Sus scrofa: one gene and its partners. The protein of the gene in region 7 purifies or fractionates together with the protein of the main gene of each other region. This does not show direct contact. Links are inferred from orthologs where the notes say so. Each region holds a gene or a part of one and is shown on either strand. Other genes may lie near its edges. The genes, in order: AFTPH, ACBD5, OSBPL11, ARHGEF12, WDR44, OSBPL9 and VAPB.

Region 1 (2,742 bases), on a different chromosome or scaffold from region 7:
GAATGGATGTGTTCTTACGTATAACTGAATCACTTTGATGTACAGCAGAAATTATCGTGACATTGCAAATCAACTATATTTCAATAAAACTTTTTTTAAAAATAAAAATAAAAGCCTGCATCTATGTTTCCTCTCTTGTTTCATCTCCTGAGTTCCTGCTGCTCATCCTAAAGGACAAAGAATATTTAGGTGGAAGAAATAACTTGGGTCACACCTAACAGATTACCAGCTATCCTTTACCATGAAAGGGAAATTGAGCCTTTTAGAGTCAACGATTTTAAATGAACTTTGGTCTAAAATTAATACCTATGACTGCAGCTATTCTTTCAGTGTACTTAACACCTGGAAAAAATAAAGATTGGATTACAGTTAGGTACCCAATTTGAGCCACATTTGAGGCTCAGTTGGCATTTTCTGTGGCTCACCTGCCGTGCTCAGCCCCACACTGCCCACTTGTTACCTTAGGGGCACTTCATCTACAGGACCCATTGGATTTTGAGATGTCTCCTCTTCCTGAGTCCTTCCTGCCTGTGTACATTCTCTGCATCAGCAGCTGGCCCTCGTGTTGGCCCCTCGGAACCTGCCAGCTGCACCCCGGTGGGGCAGAGGCTGAGTATTTTTGAGCTGAGGGCTTTCTGTCCTGGAATTCCCCTTTAGGGATGAAGAAAGCCTGAGGTTAAAATGACTTACAAGATCTTGTGCTAGACGCATGTTGAGGTAACTTTGGTAGTTTCTTGGGGTAGAGCAGGGGGAAATCCAGTTGGGCGGAGTGTTCCTAAGTCTTCGCGTTATGTCTCTGCTTAGTACCATTTTAAAAGTGCACCTGGGTAGATGCTTCTAACCTTAAGCAGCTGTGAGCTGTACACAGCTGTATGCGAATGTCTCTATATACAAGCCCAACTAAATTAAATGAATTAAATTTGGTGTGAATCTTCGTAAGAAATTTGGCCTCTAGCACAGGAAGCACTCGAGGTCAGGAACTGGCGGAGGAAAAGGTAGTCAGGTCCCCACCATGGCTCCCTACCCTGGGAGTAGATTTTTATCCCATTTGGCTTACAGCAAAGTCACGTGAACACCCTTCCTTTTTTTTTCATTTGTCAACAGGAAACCGAAAAGAGAAGAGCACCTGAGTGAGGAAGCCATCAAGGTGATCGCCAGCCTTCCCGACCTGACGTTCATGCATGCCAAGGTGTTGATGTTCCCCGCCACCTTGACACCTTCCACAGGCTCCCAAGAGAAGGCAGACGGATAACTGGTGTGAAGTGGACACTATCAGTTGCTTTCCCTTCTCTCCACCCTTCCCTACCATCAAAAGCATACCTGCTCTAATTAAAAAAAAAAAAGAAACTCAAGTTCAGCTGATTTGTTGGTAAGCCGCACTAGAAAGGTATACATAGTAATGTATATTTATTTACATACTGAAGTCGTAAATTTATATTAGAAACAAATGTAAATAATCGGGGGTGAACATTTTTGAAGATTTATTCTTTTTGTGTTGCTGGGGTGTATACATTTATGTCTTTGTGAAATACACTGGTGGTGTCCTTCTTACAAAACTTTTGAAATAAAAAAAAGAAAATTAAAAACTCAAATCTCCACTGTCTGAAATCCCTTTCAGTTTTTTCAGATTGCATTGACTGTCCTATTAATTTTTCATATCCTATGTTGAATTACTTTTGCTATCATAAATAAGCTCTATGTCCCCATTTCATTTTTTTTTTTAAATTTATGTGTGGTGGGTTTGTTTCAGATCTGGCTTTTGTTACCATTTTTTGTGCTCTTTTTTAATCTTTTCAATCTGGCCTTCTGCTCTTTGACCTTTTGCAAGGTACTTCATCGACTGCTCTCTTGTTATAGGTTATGGATCATTGTCAGAATTTGATTGGAGGGGTTTAACGAGATTGTGTCTGTTTTAAATCAGTTTGGTTTTGAGAAGGACCAAATTATATGAATGTCTTACAATGAAATTTACTTGTTACTGATTTTTTTTTGTTCTACCATACCACTATTTTTTGAGGATTTTGCACAGTGTAAAATGACATAATCATAGATTGCTATGGTTTAGGCTGTATATACAGTAAAAACTATGGGTTTTAAATGTTTGGGGAAATTCCTATGGAAAAAAGAGAGAGACATGTAGAAGAACCTCTAACAAGGTTAATGTGCATGCCCAAGGTCTTTTGAGATTTCAGTGTGTAAATTTCCTTTTAGCTTACACAAAAATAAAATACTTTAAAAGAAATTTAGCCTGGCGTCTGTACTTTGGTATCTGAGGGAAAAGGTAACGAATTTGGACATTAAGTTTTATTTCCTCCTAATGAGTTTCAATCCAGAGAAAATGATTTGGTAGGGCTTCCATTCCACTGTATTAAAACTAAGAAGAATTAGAATCTCACCCATAAGAATTGGAATCAATCCTTTTAGTAGCTGAACTATTTTTTATGTAGAACATGAGATCATACAAGAAATTCCCATGACTCATTATAATGTATCTTCATCAGAATTGGCCAAGTTGGTTAAGAGATTTGTAGGGATTTTTTTTTTCTTCCCAAAAAATATATGCATGAAATTAAAGTGAGCAGAAAATTTCTTAAAAGTAATTTTTAAATATTAGGTTAGATACTGCTTCAGCAAAAAGTCACATGATATATATATTTCATTAGATGAGGCAGTCAGCCCACAGCAGTCTCCCTCATCAGCCATGGGAATGATCCATTGGAACTCTTTTGCACTTCTGTCATT
Region 2 (3,500 bases), on a different chromosome or scaffold from region 7:
AACAAAAGTTTTCCATAGATTTCATCATTCCTACCTTCTAAGCATTTAGAGATTTTCTCCAGCCGGACTAGCATGTGAAAGTAAAAAAAAAAAAATTTGACATATAAATATTAATGCGTGAGTAATGTATCTGTTGCTGAATTTAAAACTAAGTAAAAGAGTCCAACCTGAAGTTAAATCAGAATTTCTGCCACTCTTTTTGTCCTCTACAATTTCATAAAATGGACCAATGACATGTAGCAATTCTTCAACTTTTTCAGTCATCGGCATAGTTTCAAGAATCTGTAATCAAAAGAAACAAAACTTGTGAAAACAAGCTACTAATGTAATCCTTGCTAGCACCAAATAATATAATATTTATAATTTATTTATTGATAACTGAGATCTGAAGTTCTTTTATAGACTCTTCAAAGTCAATTATATACTTAACGTATATACTCTCCTGTAAGAATTTCAAATGTATTAAAGGTTTTAAAGTGTTTTCATTTTGAAAACTATTTTACATAAGCTTTGTGTAAAATTTTACACAATAGTCTATAGATGATGCATTAAACACTTAAAAGTACTAATGTTAAATAAAACAGAATACTGTGGGCTTAGAGGAAAATTTGTGTCTGTTCTTAACACCAAGGTAATGTTTTCAAAAAGGTATTGAAGGGAGTTCTCTTGTGGTGCAGGGTTAAGGACCCGGCATTGTCACTACAGTGGCTTGGGTCACTGCTGTGGTGTGGGTTTGATCCCTGGCCCAGGAACTTTCATGTTGCAGGTGTGGCCAAAAAAGAAAGGGGGGAGTTCCTGTTGTGGCTCAGTGGTTAATGAACCCATTAGCATCCATGAGGATGCAGGTTCAATCCCTGGCCTCACTCAATGGGTTACGGATCCAGCATTGCCATGAGCTGTGGTGTAAACTGCAGACACAGCTTGGATCCCACATTGCTGTGGCTTTGGCGTAGGCCAGCAGCTACAGCTCCAATTCAACCCCTAGCCTGGGAACCTCCATATGCCAAGGGTGTAGCCCTAAAAAGAAAAAAAGAAGGGGGGATACTTAACTAGGAAGTGGTAACCACTCTCAGAAACCTTCATAACTAGGGGCCAATTTAGAATCATCATGTTTAAACAACAAGGTAAATTAAATGAAAAACATTCAAATAAATAGCCATCAACTGGTGACTGACGAAATAAAGTGAAGTATTTCTATATATGGACAACTTTGCAGATATTAAAAATACTATGTTTAGCTCTGTATGTGCTGAGTGGAAAAATACCTATAATATTTCTTTCTTTTATGGCCACACCTGCAGCATATGCAAGTTCCCAGACTAGGGGTTGAATGGGAGCTGCAGCTGCCAGCCTATGCCACGGCCACAGCAACACCAGATCCAAGCCACATCTGTGACCTACGCCACAGCCTGCAGTAGGCCAGATCCTTAACCCTCTGAGCAAGGCCAGGGATCAATCCCGCATCCTCATGGAGACAACATAGGGTCCTTAACCTGCTGAGTCACAGTGGAAACTTCCCATAAATTTTTCCACAGGCAAAAAGCTACTTGCCACACAGTAAGTTTAATATGACATCATTATTAGTTTTCTTTCTTTTTAAAATAATAGAAGATATATATGTATGTATATATACTCTAAAATATGGATATATATTTTTTTCTGAATCACTCCACAAAATATAATTAAAAGTAATTACCACTAAAGAGTTAAAATGCAGGAAATAGGGAAAGATTATAACAATATTGAAGGTAAAAAAAAAAAGAATGTTATCAAAACAAAGTTTTACATCTTTCTCTGTTTTTGAAAGGCTCCTTTGTTTTGCTACTGATACAGCAAAAACAGCCGAAAGAATTAAGCTCTGCCCTCTATTCCAAACAAAGTCCACTAAACAAAAATTGTGAAAATGTAACAAAGGGCACAACTTTGACCTGTGTAGAAGAGATTAAAACAAAATAAATTAGTCTGAATCTACCAAATAAAAATTACTATAGAGGTTAATATTGTTAAAGCATCTGGCAAAAAACTACCCTTTTTTACAGGTTTTCTTTTTGTTGAAAGACAATTTATTTAAGATTATCGTAAAACAAAAAGCAGAGTTCCCATCATGGCTCAGTGGTTAACAAATCCAACTAGGAACCATGAGGTTGCAGGTTCGATCCCTGGCCTTGCTCAGTGGGTTAAGGATCTGGCGTTACCGTGAGCTGAGTGTAGGTCGCAGACACGGTTCAGACCCCACGTTGCTGTGGCTCTGGCCTAGGCTGGTAGCCACAGCTTTGATTCGACCCCTAGCCTGGGAACTTCCATGTGCCATGGGAGCAGCCCTAGAAAAGGCAAAAATACAAAAAAAAGAGAAAAAAAGAAAAAAAAAAAAACAAAAAGCAAAAAAGGAGTTCCTGCTGTGACACAGTGGCTCAGGTTGCTGACAGTGGGTTAAAGTATACTGAGTTGCTGCAGTTGCAGTGTAAATTGGCTTCAATCCCTAGCCAGGGGAACTTCCATTTGCCACGGGAAAAAAAAAAAAAAAAAAAAAAAGGATTATCAAACAGATCTAGATTTCATAACTTCTGATCCTTCACCAACATACATATCGTCCTTTATACAAAGGCACTAAGATCATCTTTAAAAATCCATGATTTCTTCATCAATTTGCTCCTCTAAACAATTCTTTTAACAGAAGTGCTAGTTTATAAAGAATGCCCTCGTTAGTAGTTACAAGAGAAACTAAAAGCATCCTTATTCTGCTTCTGAAGGATCTTTGCATTCACAGAAAAATGCTTGCAGAAGCCCTAGCACAGGAACATCTCAATTTATGAGGCAACACTTGTATGAGAACAATGTTGGGCAGCCTTGTTACCCATTTCTCATAGATGAAAAGTTTCAAAGCAGAAATGTTTTTGAGACAGCTCAAGTACTTCCCAGACTCCTAAGGGACCTCAACATTTTAAAAGATTCCTATTGGGAGTTTCCATTGTGTCTCAGTTTCCTGACTAGTATCCATAAGGATGTGGAATTGATCCCTGGCCTTGTTCAGTAGGCTAAGGATCTGGTGTTCCTGTGAGCTGTGGCATTGACTGGGGCCGGCAGCTTGGATTTGACCCCTAGCCTGGGAACCTCGATATGCCACAGGTGCAGCCCTAAAAAGCAAAAAAAAAAAAAAAAAAAGTTCTACTAATATACTTTCTGCAGAAGTCACCTATAGAGAAAGGGAAGACAAAAAAAATATAAACCGAAGTATCATGTCACCACAATGTGATATAACTTAAGGAAAAAATATCTACCTTAAGATAAACTTTGATGAGAAAGATAAAGCCTAATAAACTCAATATTTATCTATATTCTATATTCTAACATGTTACAATCTCCTTGTTCCTTAAAACAAAGCAGCTCATTTGCCTGATAACAAAATTAAATAAAGCTGTTCTGAAAATTTTTATTTTCTTTGCTAATTATTTTCCCTACCTTCTTCATTTCTTCAACATATGCAATCATGGCTTCCTCTT
Region 3 (3,500 bases), on a different chromosome or scaffold from region 7:
AAAAAAAAAAAAAAAAAAAAAAGGTTGCCAGGCTGGGGTCGAATCAGAGCTGCAGCTGTTGGCCTACACCACAGCCACAGCAACTCGGGATGTGAGCCACGTCTGCAACCTACATCACAGCTCATGGCAATGCCTGATCCTTCACCCACTGAGTGTGGCCAGGGATCAAACTCACATACTCATGGATACTAGCTGGGTTTGTAACTCACTGAGCCACGCCAGGAACTCCAAAAACAGTAAAGTTAAAAACCTTTCCTAGGATTTCCCTGGTGGTCTAGTGATTAGGATTCAGTGCTTTTACCACTGGGTTCGATCCCTGGCCTGGGAACTGAGATCCCACAACAAGCTGCTGCACGTTACAACCAAAAAAAAAAAAAAGAAAGAAAGAAAGAAAGAAAGAAAACCCACACCAAAAAACTTTCCTCATTTTTGTACATTAATATTATATATGAATCCACATACCTTGCCAATAGCTTCAGTGTGGTGTTGCGTACATATCTGAAGTCGGCTAACCCAGTGTTGTCTCTCTTTAGCATCTGTGGCTAATAAAAAGTATATACAAGTTATTCACATTTATATTTATTTTTAGAATACAATGAATTGTCTACAGCATAAAGAATATAGCCTTGAAAATCAATGATTGGTCCTTCTCTCCCTAGAGCAAATGTCCCTGACCAGAGGAAGGATGGAAAGAGGCCAAAGTATCAACCATATTAGGTAACACCATAGCTGGATGTGGATATTTCATATGGAGGACAAATTACACACAGCTAGGTGGGTATATAAGATTGACATGTCTTTACTTTCTCATAAAAATATGCTCTTCTTTAAAGAAATAACCTGTATAAACCATATGATGTGTACTCAAAACATTCTTTAAGCTCTCTAGCAGCATGCTCAGTTAGGATTGTCATTATACATTATGTGTATTAATTACATAAAAACATAAACTATATAAATTTAACTTATCTAAACAGAAGTTATACTTCATTTAATAAATATAAGCATTTTAATAAATCCCAATCATGTACATTAGTCACTAAAAATGACAAAGAAAGCATACCAACTAAATCAGGAAAGGAGGTAAAATATAACTCTGTGGAAGACATTTTAAAAAAATTTTAAGAAGTCTGTCTTTTTAGATTTCTCAATAATCAGGATTTATCCTACACATATTTCTCAGAGGGCCCAATCTTAAACAGATTCGAGCACTGTGCCACTTAAAAAAAAAGTATTAATTAAAACAGATTACATAAATCCTTACAGCAATTCCAAGGTTTAGAATATGGTGTCTGTATCATCAATGAGAGCAGTTTCTATTTCCAAAACCTAAATGAAAGCAGGGAAGTACACCAACTTCTCAAGGGAAGAAGAAAATCATACTATTAATTCTCATATTGTCATATCTCAGTCATACCTCTGAGTTTATACTGTTCCCCACTGGCAGCATTTACAGTGAAGGTGTGAGAGTCCTCATCACTGGGTGAGATTACAGCTCCTGCAAGCTGCAAAGTACCTCTGGGTTTCTGATTTCTAGACTGTTCATTCACAAAGTACTCCAACAGCCCAGCTTCATTGTTTAAAACAAAAAACCTGTAATGATTGAAAAAAAGTCATAATTTTAAAATATTTCCCCTGGTCAAACTAAAGCAAACCAAATTTTAATCATAAACTTTGGATGTTTAGCTATTAAAAAAAAAAAATTCAGGAGTTCCCTTCGGGGCGCAGCAGAAACGAATCTGATTAGTATCCTTGAGGATGCAGGTTTGATCCCAGGTTTGATCCCTGGCCTCGCTCAGTGAGTCAGGGATCCAGCGTTGCCGTGAGCTGTGGTGTAGGTCGAGGACACAGCTTGGATCGCACATTACTGTGGCTATGGCAAAGGTCGGCGGCTGTAGCTCCCATTCAGTCCCTAGCCTGGGAACCTTCATATGCTGTGGGTGTGGCCCTAAAAAGAAAAAAGAAAAAAAAATTCAAAAGTATTTCAAGAAGTACTTAGAAACTTACTAGTCTGAATTTCCTGGCAGTAAGTGTTACTGAAAATTCAATGTGTTTCATAAAAGACATGAAACTGCGAGCTGAGAAAGAGACATTTGACAGGGAAGTGGCATACCAGATAAAGCAAAAAAGGAAACAAAGATACAGTATTCCTTCAAAGGAAGATTTCCTCCCAGAATTCATTAACAGGGAGGGAAGGTAAGTGGCCCAAAGACAAATGGTAGAGAGAATTTTTATTTAAAATTCATTGGAAACAAATCAAAACCTGAGCTCTGAGGTTAACAAATGCTAGGTAAGACATGAATCTGATTTAAGATTTAATCAGTGGAATAAATAATAAGAATAATGCCAAAGTACAAAGATTTTGTAAATGTATCATTCATTAAATAGGTCACAACTAAAGATTACTCATCCTGTTTAAAAATGAAAAAGCTGCAACAGGAGATGCAGAAGCAATAAGGAACTTGAAACTAAATAATGAAATACTGATACACTTTGGAAAAGAATTTGATGTTCTGATTCGGTTTTAGATAACTACTTTAGGAAATATATTAATTCAGATTCCAATTTAAGTAGTGTAATAGTTCTTTTCTTTAGAAAAAATACTAAAAAGTTTCTGTTTCAAAAAAGTAATGTTTGGGTTTAGGGCAATTTGGCATTCTACCTGTCAGTGTGTTCTGTAATAGAACCAGGTAGACAATTTGATCCAGTTCAAGTGCCTAGAAGATATTGTCTTAAGCAACAGCTTAACCATATCAAACTGGGAGAGAATGGAATCAGCCTTTTATTCTGAGAAAGAAAAAGAAATGATGAGAAGCAAGTAAAAAAAGTTGGAAGCGGCTGCCTGAAAAGGGAGATGGAAAAGCAAAAGACTATTGTTTTTCTTATTCATCTTTTAGCACATTCGTGATTTTTAAAATTATGTTCACTTACACTAATTACATTTGATAAAAGTAATTTTAGTATTTTTGTTTTAAACTTCCAATTCTTTACTAGAGGAGTTAAACATTCATGTGCTTATTGACCATATGTAGTTCTGCTTAGTGAACTGCCCCTCACATTTTTGCCTATTTTTAAAAGGACTAACATTATTTTCCCTAAGATTTGAAGGGATTATTCATTAACACAAAAACAGCCACTAAAATCATCTTAAATTTCTAAATCATGTGACCTGTACTTAGTAATCTGCTATGATCTGAATGTGCCCCTCCCATAATTCTTATGTGGTAATCTTAACACCTAAAATAATGATAGTAAGAGATGGGTCCTTTAGGAAGCAATCAGGTCACAAGGGTGGAACACCTTCATGAATGGGATTAGTGCCCTTAGAGGAGACCCAAGAGAGCTCCCCTGCCCCTTTTCGGCCATGTGACAATACAATGAGAAGTCTGCAATCCAAAAGAGGACCTCTACTTGGCCAGGCTGGCATCATGATTGTGGCCTTCCAAACTCCAGGACTGTGAGGAATAAATTTGTTTTGTTTTGTTTTGTCTTTTTGCCAT
Region 4 (3,971 bases), on a different chromosome or scaffold from region 7:
AATACTGAACCAGTACTTTCAGATTTCACCCCAACATATATCCAAATCGGGGACAACTACTCTCCTAAGAGCCAACAGAGGAGTGATATTTACAGAATAAGATATATTTAAAGAAAAAGTAATGCTCCCATATGAACAATTCTTATGAAAAAAAACAAAACAAAACCCCAAACTAGTAGTAAATTCCAAAGAAACACGAATACATACTGTCTCAGAAATACATATTAAGTGGTGTTTAAAGTTTCCTCTCTGAAAATATGTACAATCAAGCAGCACTTGAACTAATTCAAGGATATTAATACCCAAACCAATTTGCAGATTCATCTTATACTTGGAATACTCATCTCTTAATCCTTTGTGCCCAGCACAGCACCTGGCAAAGAACATGCATTAACTGCATGCTTATTGTATATTTATATCTCATCTAAGTTATAGAAAGGATAAAAACCCCAAGACCTTATTTCTAAGATAACGAAAGAGGAAGAAAATTGGAGAAATAAAGATGAAGAAAGGTCATTACTTGGGTGCTTTTAGGAGATTTTCACATAGAATGAATTGGTGACCGTAGGTTCTGTTTCTACAAAATTAAACGCTCCTACTACTGCAATGAAAACTAGTAGGACTACATTAGTACCTAATAAGACTTTTCTACAGGTTCAACAGAGAAAGCAAGAATTGAATGAACCAGAAAAACAATTACCCACACACCCAAGAAAATGATTTCTCAGAGGCAAAATAACCTGAGAGGAAAAGGAATGGGAATAACTTGAGGATATCAAAATAAGCATTGTTGCTATTCATGTTAAGTGTACTCTCAGAGAAGGTGAAAATTAAAATGCATTAAAAAAAACTCAAAAAATAGTTTAAACATTTAATGGACTCTTTTAAGTGAACATTCACGTGATACCGGAAAGCATCAACAGGAAGAGGAAATTCTGTTTTTGGAGTATCTGTTATGGTATGATAATGGAATTTGGCCCTTTTAAAATCAACAAATGAGTCTTACAATTGGGTAAAACTCTCTTATTATGAAATTAAACTACCTTTTGAGCACCACTAATGTTGTATTCATCAAAGTGCTTTCTTTAGCCCCTTACTTCATTTATTTTTTAGTTTGAAGGTTGACCCCCCTCCCCAGAAAAAAAAAAAAAAAAAAAGCTGACTGAAAACTTGGGACCTGGATAATTATGGCAATGTCATCATTAAACTGAAAAACAAAATATAGTAAAAGAATATACTTTTATCGTTAAACCTAATATTCCAAATAACTAAAGAGTAAGGGAACTCCACTTAAACCACAAATAGTCTAGTTCAATTCACCAACCACCACCAAGTAACCTAGGTACATACTACAAAGGACGCACCCAACTCAGCAAATCACCTGCCAGCCTTACTACATAATTCGCTTAAGCTTTATACTCCTTAAATGCAAATGTTTCTGGAAGATGAAATACTAAAAATGCAATAATTAAAATCTAGCCCCATGGTTCCTTGATAACTGCCCCTACCAGGTACTTAGGATTTACTAGTAATTCCAATATTCTGGAAAATTATTAAGATGATCAACACCGTGCAAGTCAATAGGTAAAGGATATCAAACTCATAAATCACGCGGCAGCTTCACAATGTTCACAAAAAAAAATTCCTAAACTGAAGCAGTGTCTATAGGACTACACGAGAGAAGTACAAGCGATGATGCACCAATACCCCAGCCGACTTCGGGCGCTGACCTTCACCCAAAATGACCTCCCTCTGGTCCCAAGATCCGTACAGAATCCTAATGCAAACTACCGACAGAAAAACACAATCATGGCTTTACCTACCCCTCCTCCGAGAATCTGGAGAAAAGTTTCTCTCCAGAAAAAAACAAACAAAACAAAACAAAACAACCCTACATTTCTAAATTCAATCAACCGGGGAACTTGGCAGCAACCCCAGGCTAATTGCAGAGCTCCGAAACAACCCTCTGTGCGATGCCTGTCAACTTCACTGGGCAAAGGCACTCGACAATCACTGACTCTCCTGCTAGGTCGGGCCCCAACCAGGGAGGCTAAGCGCAGGGTGAGCTTCATACCAACCTGTCGGTGATAGTAGACTGTGTGCCACTCATTGGGGCCCTTGGCGAGAGGTCCTCCTTTTATCCAACTTGCATTTTACAGTAACACCTCCACCCCACCCCCGGCGCTCTGGGATCAGGCCCGACTCCGTAAGGGACACAAGAGTCCAACTCAAAACTCCATTCAGGCATCTAGAACGTCCGACTGGAAGGGGTCAAGGAAAGGGGATGGAGATGGGAGCGAGGCAAGTTATCTCCCAAAATAAACCGATCAAGTCCGCCAGAAGGCGAGTCCTAGAGCTAGAGAGCGATCCTCGGGAAGTCACAGGAGAAAACTTCGTCACGGAGAGAAGTCGGCGAGCCTTGGGGAAGGGGGCCCGGGAGTCACTCCCGGGCCGGGGCAGGAGCGGCTCGGGGCTGGGTGTCGGTTCCTCCTCCGCGGTCTCGGGGGCTTGCAAGTCCCCGCCTCCAGGCCCGGCCCGCTGGGCTCCGCTCTCTATCTGGGGCTGCCGGCCGCTCGTGGCCACAGTCTCGGCCGCGTCTCGGGCCGCCCCGCGCCAGGCGCGCGCGGCTCCATGGCCCCGGGCCGGGGAACCCCTCTCGTCCTCGTCGCCGCCCCCACCAGGCTCCGGGCCCCGGGACGAGTGCGGGAGCCGGGGGAGGGGATCCCGCAGCCGGAGGTGACAGGAACCTGATTTCTCAGCGCCGCGGGCTGCTACCCATCCCTCGGAGGCCCCGACTCTTCCGCGGTCAGCACAGGCGGCGGCAGCAGCGGCTCCTCCCCGACGCGCCGGTAGGCGGCGGTTCCCGCGAGGGGCGGAGGTTCCCGTCCGGCCCGGCCTGGAAGTACCGGCTCCGGAGGCCGGCGGCGGCGACGGCGGCGACTCGGAGCGCAGAGCCGGCTCGCCGGGTTGTGGGGCCCTCACGGGGGCGCGCGCGGCGGGTGGAGGAGGCCGCCGATGGTGGGGGGCCGCCCGACAGCCGCGGGCGCGCGCACGGGTTCCGGTTCCGGTTCTGTCTTCCCGGCCCCGGCAGCGTCCAGCGCGAGCGAGCTCACTCTTCCCCTCCCCCGCCGACTTTTTTGGCCTCCTCCCCTCTGACTTCGGGAAGCCGCCTCACCCGGGATCCCTCCGCGGTGCGCGGGGCCGCCCGCGCCGCCCCCGCTTGCCGACCGCGGTTGCGCGTCAACCCGCGCGGACGCCTCCGCCAGCGTCTTGTTGGGGGGAACGAAAAAGTAGTTCGGCGGAGCGGAGGGAGGTGGGGACGGTCTGGTCCCGGGACTCCCACTCGCCAACCCACTGCCGTCCCCAGGAACGCGCGAGTGCCGGATATCTGTACTTCGTAGTCTAGTTTTCGCCAGGGACCGCCAAAGAGCACGTCCCTAATCCAGAGGAATTGAGAAGAAGCTCTTTAGAAATTACCCACCCTCTCGTCCTGGAAACTTGTAGTCTTTAAAGGGAGCATACTTGTTCTTTTTTTCGGAGAACCCTATAGACTGCTTTGGGCCGATGGAAGCGAACTCGTGTCCGGATGCACGGACACCGTTCCATCGTTTGTGAAACAAACCCCAGCACAGAGAAGTTTTGGCCTTGGGCGCTCACCTGGGGCACCTGCTGGCCTCCTCCCAGGATAGGGACCGCCGCGCACAAGTCTTGGCTGCCCACGGAGGGTTGGAGGACGAAAGTGTATGGGACTGGAGAGACGACAGAGTTTGGGAACTGGAGCCAGGATTTCTTCGTATAGTGTTGCTTTTAGGCTGCTGCTCCTGCCTTGGCAAAATGAAATGTTATTATTTGCCAAATTGAGCAAGCATGGTGCTTTCCACAGCGACTTAACAAGCTTGTTGTGGAAAGAAATGGGAGCAAAAAACAAAGTATATTTATCCAGTAAATAGCTTTACAGTTCTCTTTGAAGA
Region 5 (3,500 bases), on a different chromosome or scaffold from region 7:
TTATGACCTTTACATTTTCAAGAACAACAACAAAAAATCTAATTATACCTCGTCAGTAAGCTCTCTCCCAGAGTTGGACCTGGGTCTCTGAGGACCCATCACTTCACCTGCTATTGTCTGCCCGTCAGGTGCTTTTCCATTTTCCTGAAATTATAATTTTATAAACAGAAAGGACACAGAGTCAATTTCTATAAATATTCTATTATTCCTTACCGCACATAGTATAATATCCGTAATACAGATAATGGTGCCTACTGAAAATTTAAATGGAACACTCCATTTCAGTCCTTGATTATTCCCAGCATGCTGAAAAACATTAGGTACCAAAAGCATTGCTGCTCATGAAATAACATTTTAGTAGTTTTGAAAGCAAATAAATGTTCCATTTGAACTTGGCCCAAAAGCAGTTCTCTACTAGTAGAATGCCAGCACTAAGACTGTCATTAATCAGGGCTATACACGTGATTATCTTAAGGGCAGGGGTCAGCAAACTTTTTCTGTAGAGCCAGATAATAAATATTTTATTTAGGCTTTTTACATCACATACAGTGTCTGTTGTCTAGTCTTTTAAAAAAAAAAAAAAACCACAAATCTTTAAAAACATAAAGACCATTCTTAGTATGGGGACCCTACAAAAATCAGGCCACTGCTAAGGCTTTGACAAGACTATTGTGTCTTAGTTTCCAGTCTGCTAACTTGCCGCAACCACAGCTAACACATAAGTAACCCCTGAGTCCCAAAATTTGGTGGTGGTAAAAATTCATGTTACCAAGTCCCTTCTATTGCCTCATATAAGGATACACAGCCTAGTGTATGAAGCTTTTTTTTTTTTCATGATTAGGGAAAGCAAATTATAAAAAAATAAAAGCCCCTAATTTTCACCACTATAGGTCAGGTAAATGAAGACTGTAATTGGTATTTATTAAGAAATATTACATATAGTAGCATCTGTCATTTTTTGAATGCCTACTACATGCCAGGTACTTGGCATACTTCAGCAAATTTCGATCTTGCAAGAAATCTTTAAGGAAGGTTTCCCCCACATCTTATCAACGGGACATCTCAGGTTCAGATGTAAAACAGCTTGCGAGAATCAGCCCACTACTTGGTAGCAGAGCTGGACAAGGGATGTAAGGTAGTCAGGTTTTTTAGAGACAAGGAAATATTTGGCCTGGAGAAGAAAGAAGGTTCAGTAATAAACAAACCAGCCAGTTGCAGGAAGTTGAGAAAGCCTATATAAAATATATCATGAATTCACCAACCTGGGCAGTAACTATTTTATCTCCACTGGTAGCACTTGCCAAATCAAGAGAAGGCTGAGAATCTTTGACTGTACTCTCTGAAGCCAGACTTGTAGTTAGGAGAGTATCAGGTGTAATATTCTCTTTGGGAACTGCAATAATAATAATAACAACATTTATATAGCTTGAAAAGTTTTAACATTTGTCTGATTCTTAGAATAATCCTACGAGGAAAGTGATTTTATTACTCTTGTTTTATATATGGGGAAACCAGGGTTCAAATAAGTTATTTAAATTCCTCAAGGCTATACAGCTTACATCCGAAGAGATCTAGGACTTGAATTCAAATCTTAAGTCTCCAAATCCTATGTTCTTTTCACTACGCCACACTGGCTCTCGATTGGTAACAGATTTGAAAGTCTGCTGAAATGTTTAATTACAGTAAGGTAACTTAACACCAATGTAAACATTTTGACTTTTTATTACTAAAATAAGTTTTATTTGGTTATCAATGTGGTTAGATATAGCATAAACTGGAAAAAAAAAAAAACAACCCAGAAAGTTAAACAGTTTCAACAGCAAAACCTTCCCCCAAAAACATTAATTTCTCAATTAATACTTGCCATCTAGGTCAGGTGTCTTAAGAGCTTCAAACTCCAATTCGCTTTTCTTTTTTCTTGGTGGTGGAGCAGGTCGAGATGGAGGTGGGGGTCTAGGAGGTGGGAAATTGGTTGGAGGGGGTGGACGTGCTGGAACAGGTTTCTTTGTACTAGCTACTATATCAGGTTCTGGAGTAAGCTGTCTTGGGGGTTTGGCAGGAGCAACTTCTTCCACAACAGCAAAATCTTTAGTAGATAAGGAGTGTGAGGATGCGGGTTCTAGAACATCGCTTTCTTTGACTTCCACTGCTTCCTTGTTCAACATTTCCGTTTCAGTTTCAGGCACATTAAGCTGTTCAGCTGAACTTATTTCAGTTAACTTAGTGGTTTCATCTACTGGCTTCTCACATGTATCATCAGAAGGAAAACACTTTTGTGATTCTATTTCAGTTTCTTCAGATACATCTTGACTTTCTGCCTTTTGGGAACCTTCCTGTAGTACTTGATCTATGGCTAACAGTACAGGTATATTGCTAAGATCTGTTTCAGCCACGACAGGATTGGCAGTAGCCTGATCAGAGTGTCCTTTTCCTCTGGAATCCAGAGAGTCATCTTCAAGCTGTAGTACTTTCTGACTCTCTTCAATAATACTTTCGATAATCTGATAAAAGGTTAAAAAGCAGTTTTAAAAACCAGTGAAGCTCTTTACAAGAACATAATAACAGCCAATCATTTATATAGTACTTACTATGTGCCATACAATGTTCTTAACACTTTATGTATTTTAGTCTTTACCACAATCTTGCAAAATAGTGGGTTTTTTTACTATCATCATTATACAAATGAGGGAACTAAGGTACAAAGGGATCAAGTGATTTGTCCAAGGTCACAAAGCTAGGAAGTGATAAGGCTGGCATGAACACAGGGAGTTTGGTTCCAGAAACTATACTCTTAACCACTATGATAGGGAATCTGTCTTAGTATGTGGAATCACAAAAGTTCAATCAACCCTTTAGAAGAAAGTTTAAACCTGAATTTACATTCAGATACTTCATGCCATAGTTCATTTACAAACTTATGCCACGTTAGCTGCAGCAACAGCCTGCTGATTTGATCCTAGTCAACAAAAGTATGAGGTCAAAACCACCTTGCACACGAATTCAAGTTGTTCAGCTCTGAATTCAAGCCTGACATAAAGAGCCAGCAGGTGCAGGGAAATAAATGTTCTTAAACAGCTAATTCCCTGCTATGCAGAGAGATGGCAGGACCATGAAGAGTCCAAATCCCAACTCACCTTGCCTTTTTCCTTTTTATTTCTTATCTATAGCTGAAAAACACAGAGAGGTTTTCTGTGTCTTCCGCCAGCATTTAGAAAAAAAATATATTTTTGACCTAGTCCTGTTATTATTAAATCTCCAAGCCCACTTCTCTTTTCACCATGGAGCCATGGATGACTTCTGGTTTCTCAATTCTTTGGCTCCAGAAAGTTAATAGAATGTGTCATGGAGCTATCCTGATCTGGTTTATCACAAACGCATGCCAAGTTGAACTGGATATTACGCTTCTCAGTAACAGTCTTCCCTGCTTTCCCAGTGTATTCCATATATCAGTTTTTCTCAATCTTCAAATTTTTACCCAAGATCTACCTCACTTTTGTCAG
Region 6 (3,500 bases), on a different chromosome or scaffold from region 7:
CCTTAGGAGAATAAGCTTAATAATCTCTCATGAGACTAAAGAGGAAGTACTGTGCCCCATTTTAGATTTTACATGTGGCTTGGAAACATGCATGATAAACTGCTTGGAAACAGTTTATCATCAGAAGCATTTGCTGATTTTACAGAGCAGTTATACTGAGGTATTGGCATGTCTTGACTAGTCTCTTGATATCTTGCCTCTAGTGTCTTAGTACTAGGTAGCATATCGTTGAGCTCAAAGGGTATAGGAGGTCAGAAAGGAGTAGTGGAACTTGACTTAATGGAATATAATCTCAAAAATTATTATCTTTAGGGAGTTCCCATCGTGGCACAGCAGAAACGAATCTGACTAGGAACCATGAGATTGTGGGTTCAGTCCCTGGCCTCACTCAGTAGGTTAAGGATCTGGTGTTGCCATGAGCTGTGGTGTAGGTCACACTTGTGGCTTGGATCTGGCATTGCTGTGGCTCTGGCGTAGGCCAGTGGCTACAGCTCTGGTTGGACACCTAGCCTGGGAACTTCCATATGCCATGGGTGCGGCCCTAAAAAGACAAAAAAGACAAAAAAATTATTCTCTTTAGAATTTTGAATCCCACACAGTTGCAGTTAAAGAGTTGTGTTTGACTTTTTCTCTAACTTACTTCACGTGTTCATATCTTCTAGAACCTGCTCAGTTATGTAAATCAGAGCAGCGTCCATCTTCCCTACCAGTTGGACCTGTGTTAGCTACCTTGGGACATCATCAGACTCCAACACCAAATAGTACAGGTACAGACTTGTAAGATTCCTTCCCTTCTTATAACTGCCTGCTAACATTTAAAATTTGGTTTGCTTACTGATGGCAAAAAGATTGAAGAAAGGTTGAATGCTCAAGTTGGAGATACCATAGTCTTACCATTGTAATTACATTCATGAACTGGTTAACTTTGTGATTGAACCAGAAGCTTTAGTTATAGTTAAAATTTAAATGAAATAAAGTATCGCAGAGTTGTCTGTATTTGCTTACCTTCAGATTTATTTTGAGGATCTATATTGGCTTTTTAAAAAAATTTGCTCTTTAGACTTACACGCTTTCTTACTATAAAGCAATCAAACAATACAGAAGTATGAGAACAAAAGCTGTAAGTCTTCTTTGCTCATCTCTGTTGTTTGCATGCATGTATGTACATACATATCTATATTGTATATTTCTGTTGTCATGAGATCATGTGGTTCTGGGACTTTCTGTTTTCATTTAACTAAGAACATTTAGAGAGTTGTCTGTGCTCATGGAGTCTGCAGCATTCTTTTCATAGCTGCTCAAGTAGCTATTACCTGTTTTCCTCCTGATGGACTTTTAGGTTGATTCCAGTATTTTCCTATTGTAAATATCCGTACTTCAGGGAACATCCTTGTACAGTAACTTTTGGCACATACATTTTTTTTTTTTTTTTGTCTTTTTTGTCTTTTTGCCATTTCTTGGGCCACTCCCGTGGCATATGGAGGTTCCCAGGCTAGGGGTCTAATTGGAGCTGTAGCCACCAGCCTACGCTAGAGCCACAGCAACTCAAGATCTGAGCCCTGTCTGGGACCTACACCACAGATCATGGCAACGCCGGATCGTTAACCCACTGAGCAAGGGCAAGGATCGAACCCGCAACCTCATGGTTCCTAGTCAGATTCGTTAACCACTGCGCCACGATGGGAACTCCCACATATGTATTTTTTAAGGATAGATTTATCAGTCATGTTTTGCCAGTTTTATAGGCAAAAAAAAAAAGATCATTTCAATTTGCATTTTCTTGATTTATCAGACTTATGGTTTATATTTTTCTGTTTTTTTTTTCTAATTAACAGGGATGCTAACATTGTTTGCATAGATATTTATTTCTTGTTTTAAAACCAATTTGGTTACCAGTAGAACCAAACTCAAGGGAGCACTTAGTGCTTTCATCCCTGTTACATGTGGAGGCCAAACAAAACCCCTGTGGAGGAGGTGGGAGATAAGCCCCTGCTTTTGCTCTGCAAGTTCTTTCCTGGGAGGGACTTTGCTGTGTAATAATGAAAAGTTACTGTGATTTTTTCGCCCGTTGTGAAATTTACACCAGTAAAAGTGCTGATATTATTGCTTTGGTTTTTAATATTTAACAGCCTGAGCAGATGTTTTCTTAATTTTGAAAGAAAGCAAGCAACGACAGTTCTCATTTGAAGCTTTTGGGAAAATACTGATAAGCAGTTTGAATAATGAGGTTGAAATGTTTGGCTGACTTTTTTCTGTATTTCATTACATGGTGTCATTTTAAAGACGGTATCCGTGTTTTCTTTTTTTTTTTGTTGTTGTTGTTGTTATTGTTGCTATCTCTTGGTTCTTGGGCCGCTCCCGCGGCATATGGAGGTTCCCAGGCTAGGGGTTGAATCGGAGCTGTAGCCACCGGCCTACGCCAGAGCCACAGCAACGCGGGATCCGAGCCGTGTCTGCAACCTACACCACAGCTCACGGCAACGCCGGATCGTTAACCCACTGAGCAAGGGCAGGGACCGAACCCGCAACCTCATGGTTCCTAGTCGGATTCGTTAACCACTGCGCCACGACGGGAACTCCCGTGTTTTCTTTTTTATATAAGGAGGAATTATGTCAGAATTTTGAAACAGCCAAAATGTGTCCATTTGGACAAATCATGTTCATGTGATTTTTGATAGTCTTTCCATTATGTACTGTTGGCTTACTGCTGCATTTTTTAGGTATCTGCATAAGAGCTCTGGCTTCCCATTGGTAGTGGTGTCTGTTATGGGACTTCCACACCCTTAACTTACACACTGTGATTATTAGTGCCATGGGGACATGGCATTTTTTCATTTATTTTAAAAGGCTGTGTCTGAGTGGATGATGTGATTTGCCTTTTTCTTTGTCTAGTTTAAATGTTGGTTTTCTTTACAATTAGTGTAGAGACTTCCACCAACTTAAATATTTCTTCATTTTAGAAAGGTCTGCTTTGACCCCATCTCCCTTTATTACCAACATTGTCCCCTAATTGAAAACTTTTTAACTTCCTAGGCAGTGGACACTCACCACCTAGTAGCAGTCTAACTTCTCCAAGCCATGTCAACTTGTCTCCAAACACAGTTCCAGAGTTCTCTTATTCTAGCAGTGAAGACGAATTCTATGACGCTGATGAATTCCATCAAAGTGGCTCATCCCCAAAGCACTTAATAGAGTAAGTAGGTGAACTACCTATGAATTGGAATGATTCTCCTGATTTTTAAAAATGTAATTTGATTTTGAGACATGACAGCTTATTTATTTATTTATTTAGCTTTTTAGGGCTGCACCCATGGCATATAGAGGTTCCCAGGCTAGGGGGCCAATTGGAGCTCTAGCCACTGGCCTATGCCACAGCCACAGCAATGCTAGATCCGAACTGCATCTGCGACCTACACCACAGCTCATGGCAATGCCAGACTGTCAACCCACTGAGTGAGGCCAGGGATTGAAGCTGCAACCCCATGGTTCCTAGTCAGATT
Region 7 (3,972 bases):
AGCAAGCAGTAATTGGTACCTTACTAAATTTATATTTATTGTTTACCATACGTCACAGTGCCTAGCACACATCATTCACCAATAAACATTATGTTTATAATAAGAATAAATAGTGTTTTCATCATTATTCAGTCTCTAAGTGCCTGGCACCGCACAAACAAGGGAAAGTGGAAGTTCATTCTTATTAATTATTATTATTGAGTAAAGCACTTAACACAAAGCCAGGCCCCCAAGGACGTTCAGTAAATAGTCTCCCCCGCGACGGCCCAAGACTCCCGGCGTCCCGGACCCGCCCCTCCCCGGGACTGCGCGGCGCCCCGCCCCCTGCCGCCCGGCAGCCCCGCCCCCACGGCCAGCGCTGCGCTTGCGCACTGCCCGGCAGGGGCTCCGCGCGCGCTCAGCTCCCCACAGCCCGAGCGCGCGCCCGGGCCGAGCAGGCCAGCCTGCTGCGTGCGTGCGTGCGTGCGTGCGTGCGTCGCTGCGTGCGTCGCTGCGTGCGTGCGTGCCGTGCGCTCGCCGGGCACCGCGGCCTCGCCCTCGCCCTCCGCCCCTGCGCCTGCACCGCGTAGGCCGCCCCCCGCGCGCACCCCGTCGGCGACCCCCGCCCGCGCCCCGGCCGGCCCCCCCTTTTCCAAATTTAAAGGGGGCGCAGCCTTAACGCTTCTCGCCCCAGGTGACCTCTCAGGGGTCTCCCCGCCTGAGGTGCCCCGCTGCCGAGGAACATGGCGAAGGTGGAGCAGGTCCTGAGCCTCGAGCCGCAGCACGAGCTCAAATTCCGAGGTAAGCCCGGAGGCCCGCCATCTTCGGCCGCGGGCCGGGCCCGCCGCCCCGCACCCCCTCCCGCGCTCCGGAGGGCCTGGCGGCGCGGCCGTGACGTCGGCCCCCGGCCCGCGGCCCCCGCCCGCTCCCCCCCGACGGCGCGCCCGCCCCGCGCCCCCGGGCCGCCAGGCGTCCGTGCGCGGGAGTCCAGGGCCTGCTCCTCCACAGCCTCCCTGCGCCTCGCCCTCGAGACACTCGCACAGTTGCCAGTGTAACTGTTCCTGTCCAGTGTGCGGCCTCCGCCCTGGTGTGGGCGCCTTCGCCGAGAAGGTTTTTCGCCTGCTCGGGGCATAGGTCAGCTGTCACCTGCCCAGGGAGGACGCCTGCAGCCGGTCCCCGTCGCATGTGTTCGTGGGCAGGTCGGCTCTTGCCACGACCTGGAAGGACCGTTTCCGCGCTTGTTTACCCTGCTGGTACACTAGAAGGGAAACTCCATGAGGACAGGACCGTGTCACGTCTCCGCTTCCTGCCCCGCACGTCCTAGGGGCCTAATAAATACCCGTTGAACAAAAGAGTGGCAGGAGCCTCCGCACACGTTCTGGCGGGACGTGGCCCAGCCTTCCTTGCCCTGCCGTCCTCATGCCCGCGGCTCACGTCTGTGCAGCGAGGGGGGCCTCGCAGGGCGGCGAGATCTTTTATCTTCCCAGAGGAAGCCCAGGGGGCCACGCGTGTTTGTGGCAAGCCAGAGCCCCTTGTAACGTCTGTCTTTATTTTCCGTCTTACCGCCCCGTCTTCTCCACCAAAATGAAAGTGCCAGGAGTCTCTTGTCTGGGACCTCATCTGACTTACCCAGTGCCATCTTTTCAAGTGCCTTGAGTAACGTAAGCTTGGCACTGGAGGGGGAGGAATGAGCCAGAGGGACAAGTTCCCCGATCTCATGCTGCGTACCTTCTAGTGAGGGGGACACACGAGCGCGCAAGCCTGGTTCAGGGAGTGGCACGTGCCGCGAAGGACCTGAAACCAGCCGGCCCTGACGAGCATCTGCTTAGACTGGACGCCCAGGGCCCTGCTGTATTGCCAGCACTTGGCTTACTGTAGGCGCTCAGTAGATGTTTGTGGAGTCGCACTGCATTCTGGCCACATGCACCCCACTTTAAATTATACTGGCAGGAAGTAGCCTAGGGTAACTTACCCAAACTTAACCCAGTTAGCACACATTTGAGCTCAGACTTCAGAGCTCACCCTCCTTAGCAGTTCTGCTGTCCCACCTCTGGGAGCTGTTCCAGTCCTGTGGCTTTACATTGCCTCCCAGGTTAACAGTCTGAAGTGACCCTAAATGTATAAACAGCTGAAGGGTGTCCAGTTAAAACCAAAACAGACCCCCTCAAAGACCTAAGGTGGATGGATTATAATTCCGCGAGAGAACTGGAGTTTGCGTGCTGTCCCGCTGGCCTGCTCCTCCAGGGTCCGGGCTGGGAGTGGAATCCCCGGATGGTGCTGACCATGAAGGGGATGGTTTGCACGTGAGGTGTCCGACGTTCTCTACCCCGCAAGCCTGGCTTCGCCGCTCCTGGGCAGCAGCACATTCCTTCATTTAGTCCGTAGACGTGTGCTGCTCCAGGTGTCAGGTACGAGGAGGCGAGTCACATCACAGGTGTGCCTCTCCACGCCCCCTTAGGTCCTGCAGAATCAGCCAGGACGGGCGAGGGTCTGAGGGAATTCAGAGTGCTCCGGGAGCCGGGAGGAGTCAGCTCCAGAAAGATGTGTCATTCGAGCTGTGTGTGAAGGTGGAAGGGAAGCAGGCCATGGGCAGGGAGCGTGGCAGCAGAGGGAACTGCATGTACAGTGGCACAGAGGCTGAGTAATGGGGCTCCTTTGGGATGGTAGTTCTGAATGACAGCAGCAATGAGCACTTGCTGGAGGTCACGAGGCCAAGTAGGAGACCAGGCTGGCTTGTGGACAGGAGTCAGGTCTTCTGTGGCCTCTGCCAGAGGCAGCCAGTGTCCACGTTCAAATTATGTTGTCTTCTCAGCCAGTTTTTTGATCCCGGGTAACCTTAATCCCACCCCCAGCATGTAGACTTCCTACAGTGATGTATAGAAAGAGGCACTAATTGGGGACTATTAAAGGTTTTGTCCCAGTTCTTTCACTTGAAGATGTTTGACCTTGGGCTGGCCGCTTCACTCTCCAGAGGAGTATTTGGTCAGCTGGTGTCATCCTTTCAGCTTCTTTACATGAACAGTGTGGTGGAGAAGAGTGATCTCTCTGGCCCAGGGCTGGCCAAAGCCCCTGGATATTTTTGCTAGGGAGGTGGTCCAGGAAAGTTGCAGTGTCAGATTGTTGAAGGCTGTTGGCTTGTGGCTTCAGAAAAGGCACCTGGAGGCATGTATAAACCAGTTTATGCGATTTTTTTGTGGGTTTATTTCTTTTTCTCTTTTCCCTTTATTGGCCATGCCTGTGGCCTATGGAAGTTCTCTGACCAGGGATCAAATCTGAGCCACAGCTGTGACCTGTGCCACAGCTGCAACAACATTGGATCCTTAACCCACTGCACTGCCTCAGAGGCAATGCCAGATCCTTAACCTGCTGTGTCACAGCAGGAACACCTGTTGGTTTGTTTTTAAACTGAGCACTAAGGTAGTGAAATTAGAATAGAGGTTCCGGAGTTTGTGGCACGGTGGAAACAAATCCAACTAGGAACCATGAGGTTGTGGGTTTGATGCCTGGCCTCACTCAGTGGGTTAAGGATCCGGCGTTGCCATGAGCTGTGGTGTAGGTCACAGACACAGCTCAGATCCTGCACTGCTGTGGCTGTGGTGTAGGCCAGCAGCTACAGCTCCAATTAGACCCCTAGCCTGGGAACCCTCTATATGCCGAGGGTGCGGCCCTGAAAAGACACAAACAAACAAACAAAAACAAAGAGGTTCTGTGTCCTGGCTTGCTGTTTCGGGATCATTCATTTCAGGATGAGAACTGGCACATACAGGTTACTCAGGGTGATGAATCTGACTTTGGATGGTTCGCTTAGATGAATCAAACTTGTCAGCTAACTTTGCTTAAGAAGGTAATAGAGGAGTTCCCGTCGTGGCGCAGTGGTTAACGAATCCGACTAGGACCCATGAGGTTGCGGGTTCGGTCCCTGCCCTTGCTCAGTGGGTTAACGATCCGGCGTTGCCGTGAGCTGTGGTGTAGGTTGCAGACGCGGCTCGGATC

The links.
Region 1: the proteins of VAPB (region 7) and AFTPH purify together in Homo sapiens (affinity purification with mass spectrometry; 3 studies listed by BioGRID and IntAct, counting the BioPlex papers as one, with this or other methods). This does not show direct contact. The link is inferred for Sus scrofa from reciprocal best matches to the Homo sapiens genes VAPB and AFTPH.
Region 2: the proteins of VAPB (region 7) and ACBD5 purify together in Homo sapiens (affinity purification with mass spectrometry; 4 studies listed by BioGRID and IntAct, counting the BioPlex papers as one, with this or other methods). This does not show direct contact. The link is inferred for Sus scrofa from reciprocal best matches to the Homo sapiens genes VAPB and ACBD5.
Region 3: the proteins of VAPB (region 7) and OSBPL11 purify together in Homo sapiens (affinity purification with mass spectrometry; 4 studies listed by BioGRID and IntAct, counting the BioPlex papers as one, with this or other methods). This does not show direct contact. The link is inferred for Sus scrofa from reciprocal best matches to the Homo sapiens genes VAPB and OSBPL11.
Region 4: the proteins of VAPB (region 7) and ARHGEF12 purify together in Homo sapiens (affinity purification with mass spectrometry; 3 studies listed by BioGRID and IntAct, counting the BioPlex papers as one, with this or other methods). This does not show direct contact. The link is inferred for Sus scrofa from reciprocal best matches to the Homo sapiens genes VAPB and ARHGEF12.
Region 5: the proteins of VAPB (region 7) and WDR44 purify together in Homo sapiens (affinity purification with mass spectrometry; 4 studies listed by BioGRID and IntAct, counting the BioPlex papers as one, with this or other methods). This does not show direct contact. The link is inferred for Sus scrofa from reciprocal best matches to the Homo sapiens genes VAPB and WDR44.
Region 6: the proteins of VAPB (region 7) and OSBPL9 purify together in Homo sapiens (affinity purification with mass spectrometry; 7 studies listed by BioGRID and IntAct, counting the BioPlex papers as one, with this or other methods). This does not show direct contact. The link is inferred for Sus scrofa from reciprocal best matches to the Homo sapiens genes VAPB and OSBPL9.

Annotation. Positions count from the first base shown.
Region 1 is NC_010445.4:77,351,372-77,354,113, reverse strand, and holds the end of AFTPH (aftiphilin), read left to right. Parts: intron 1-1,104; coding exon 1,105-1,252; 3' UTR 1,253-2,242; downstream 2,243-2,742. UniProt on the Homo sapiens protein: Component of clathrin-coated vesicles.
Region 2 is NC_010452.4:48,911,281-48,914,780, forward strand, and holds part of ACBD5 (acyl-CoA-binding domain-containing protein 5), read right to left. Parts: coding exon 3,460-3,500; intron 283-3,459; coding exon 168-282; intron 68-167; coding exon 35-67; intron 1-34. UniProt on the Homo sapiens protein: Acyl-CoA binding protein which acts as the peroxisome receptor for pexophagy but is dispensable for aggrephagy and nonselective autophagy. Binds medium- and long-chain acyl-CoA esters.
Region 3 is NC_010455.5:134,742,351-134,745,850, reverse strand, and holds part of OSBPL11 (oxysterol-binding protein-related protein 11), read right to left. Parts: intron 1,594-3,500; coding exon 1,418-1,593; intron 543-1,417; coding exon 463-542; intron 1-462. UniProt on the Homo sapiens protein: Plays a role in regulating ADIPOQ and FABP4 levels in differentiating adipocytes and is also involved in regulation of adipocyte triglyceride storage. Weakly binds 25-hydroxycholesterol. Interacts with OSBPL9 to function as lipid transfer proteins.
Region 4 is NC_010451.4:47,474,960-47,478,930, reverse strand, and holds the start of ARHGEF12 (rho guanine nucleotide exchange factor 12), read right to left. Parts: upstream 2,801-3,971; 5' UTR 2,111-2,800; coding exon 2,079-2,110; intron 1-2,078. UniProt on the Homo sapiens protein: May play a role in the regulation of RhoA GTPase by guanine nucleotide-binding alpha-12 (GNA12) and alpha-13 (GNA13). Acts as guanine nucleotide exchange factor (GEF) for RhoA GTPase and may act as GTPase-activating protein (GAP) for GNA12 and GNA13.
Region 5 is NC_010461.5:96,984,788-96,988,287, reverse strand, and holds part of WDR44 (WD repeat-containing protein 44), read right to left. Parts: intron 2,502-3,500; coding exon 1,865-2,501; intron 1,394-1,864; coding exon 1,263-1,393; intron 145-1,262; coding exon 49-144; intron 1-48. UniProt on the Homo sapiens protein: Downstream effector for Rab11 which regulates Rab11 intracellular membrane trafficking functions such as endocytic recycling, intracellular ciliogenesis and protein export.
Region 6 is NC_010448.4:160,412,882-160,416,381, reverse strand, and holds part of OSBPL9 (oxysterol-binding protein-related protein 9), read left to right. Parts: intron 1-662; coding exon 663-767; intron 768-3,033; coding exon 3,034-3,193; intron 3,194-3,500. UniProt on the Homo sapiens protein: Interacts with OSBPL11 to function as lipid transfer proteins.
Region 7 is NC_010459.5:58,594,364-58,598,335, forward strand, and holds the start of VAPB (vesicle-associated membrane protein-associated protein B), read left to right. Parts: upstream 1-1,172; 5' UTR 1,173-3,972. UniProt on the Homo sapiens protein: Endoplasmic reticulum (ER)-anchored protein that mediates the formation of contact sites between the ER and endosomes via interaction with FFAT motif-containing proteins such as STARD3 or WDR44.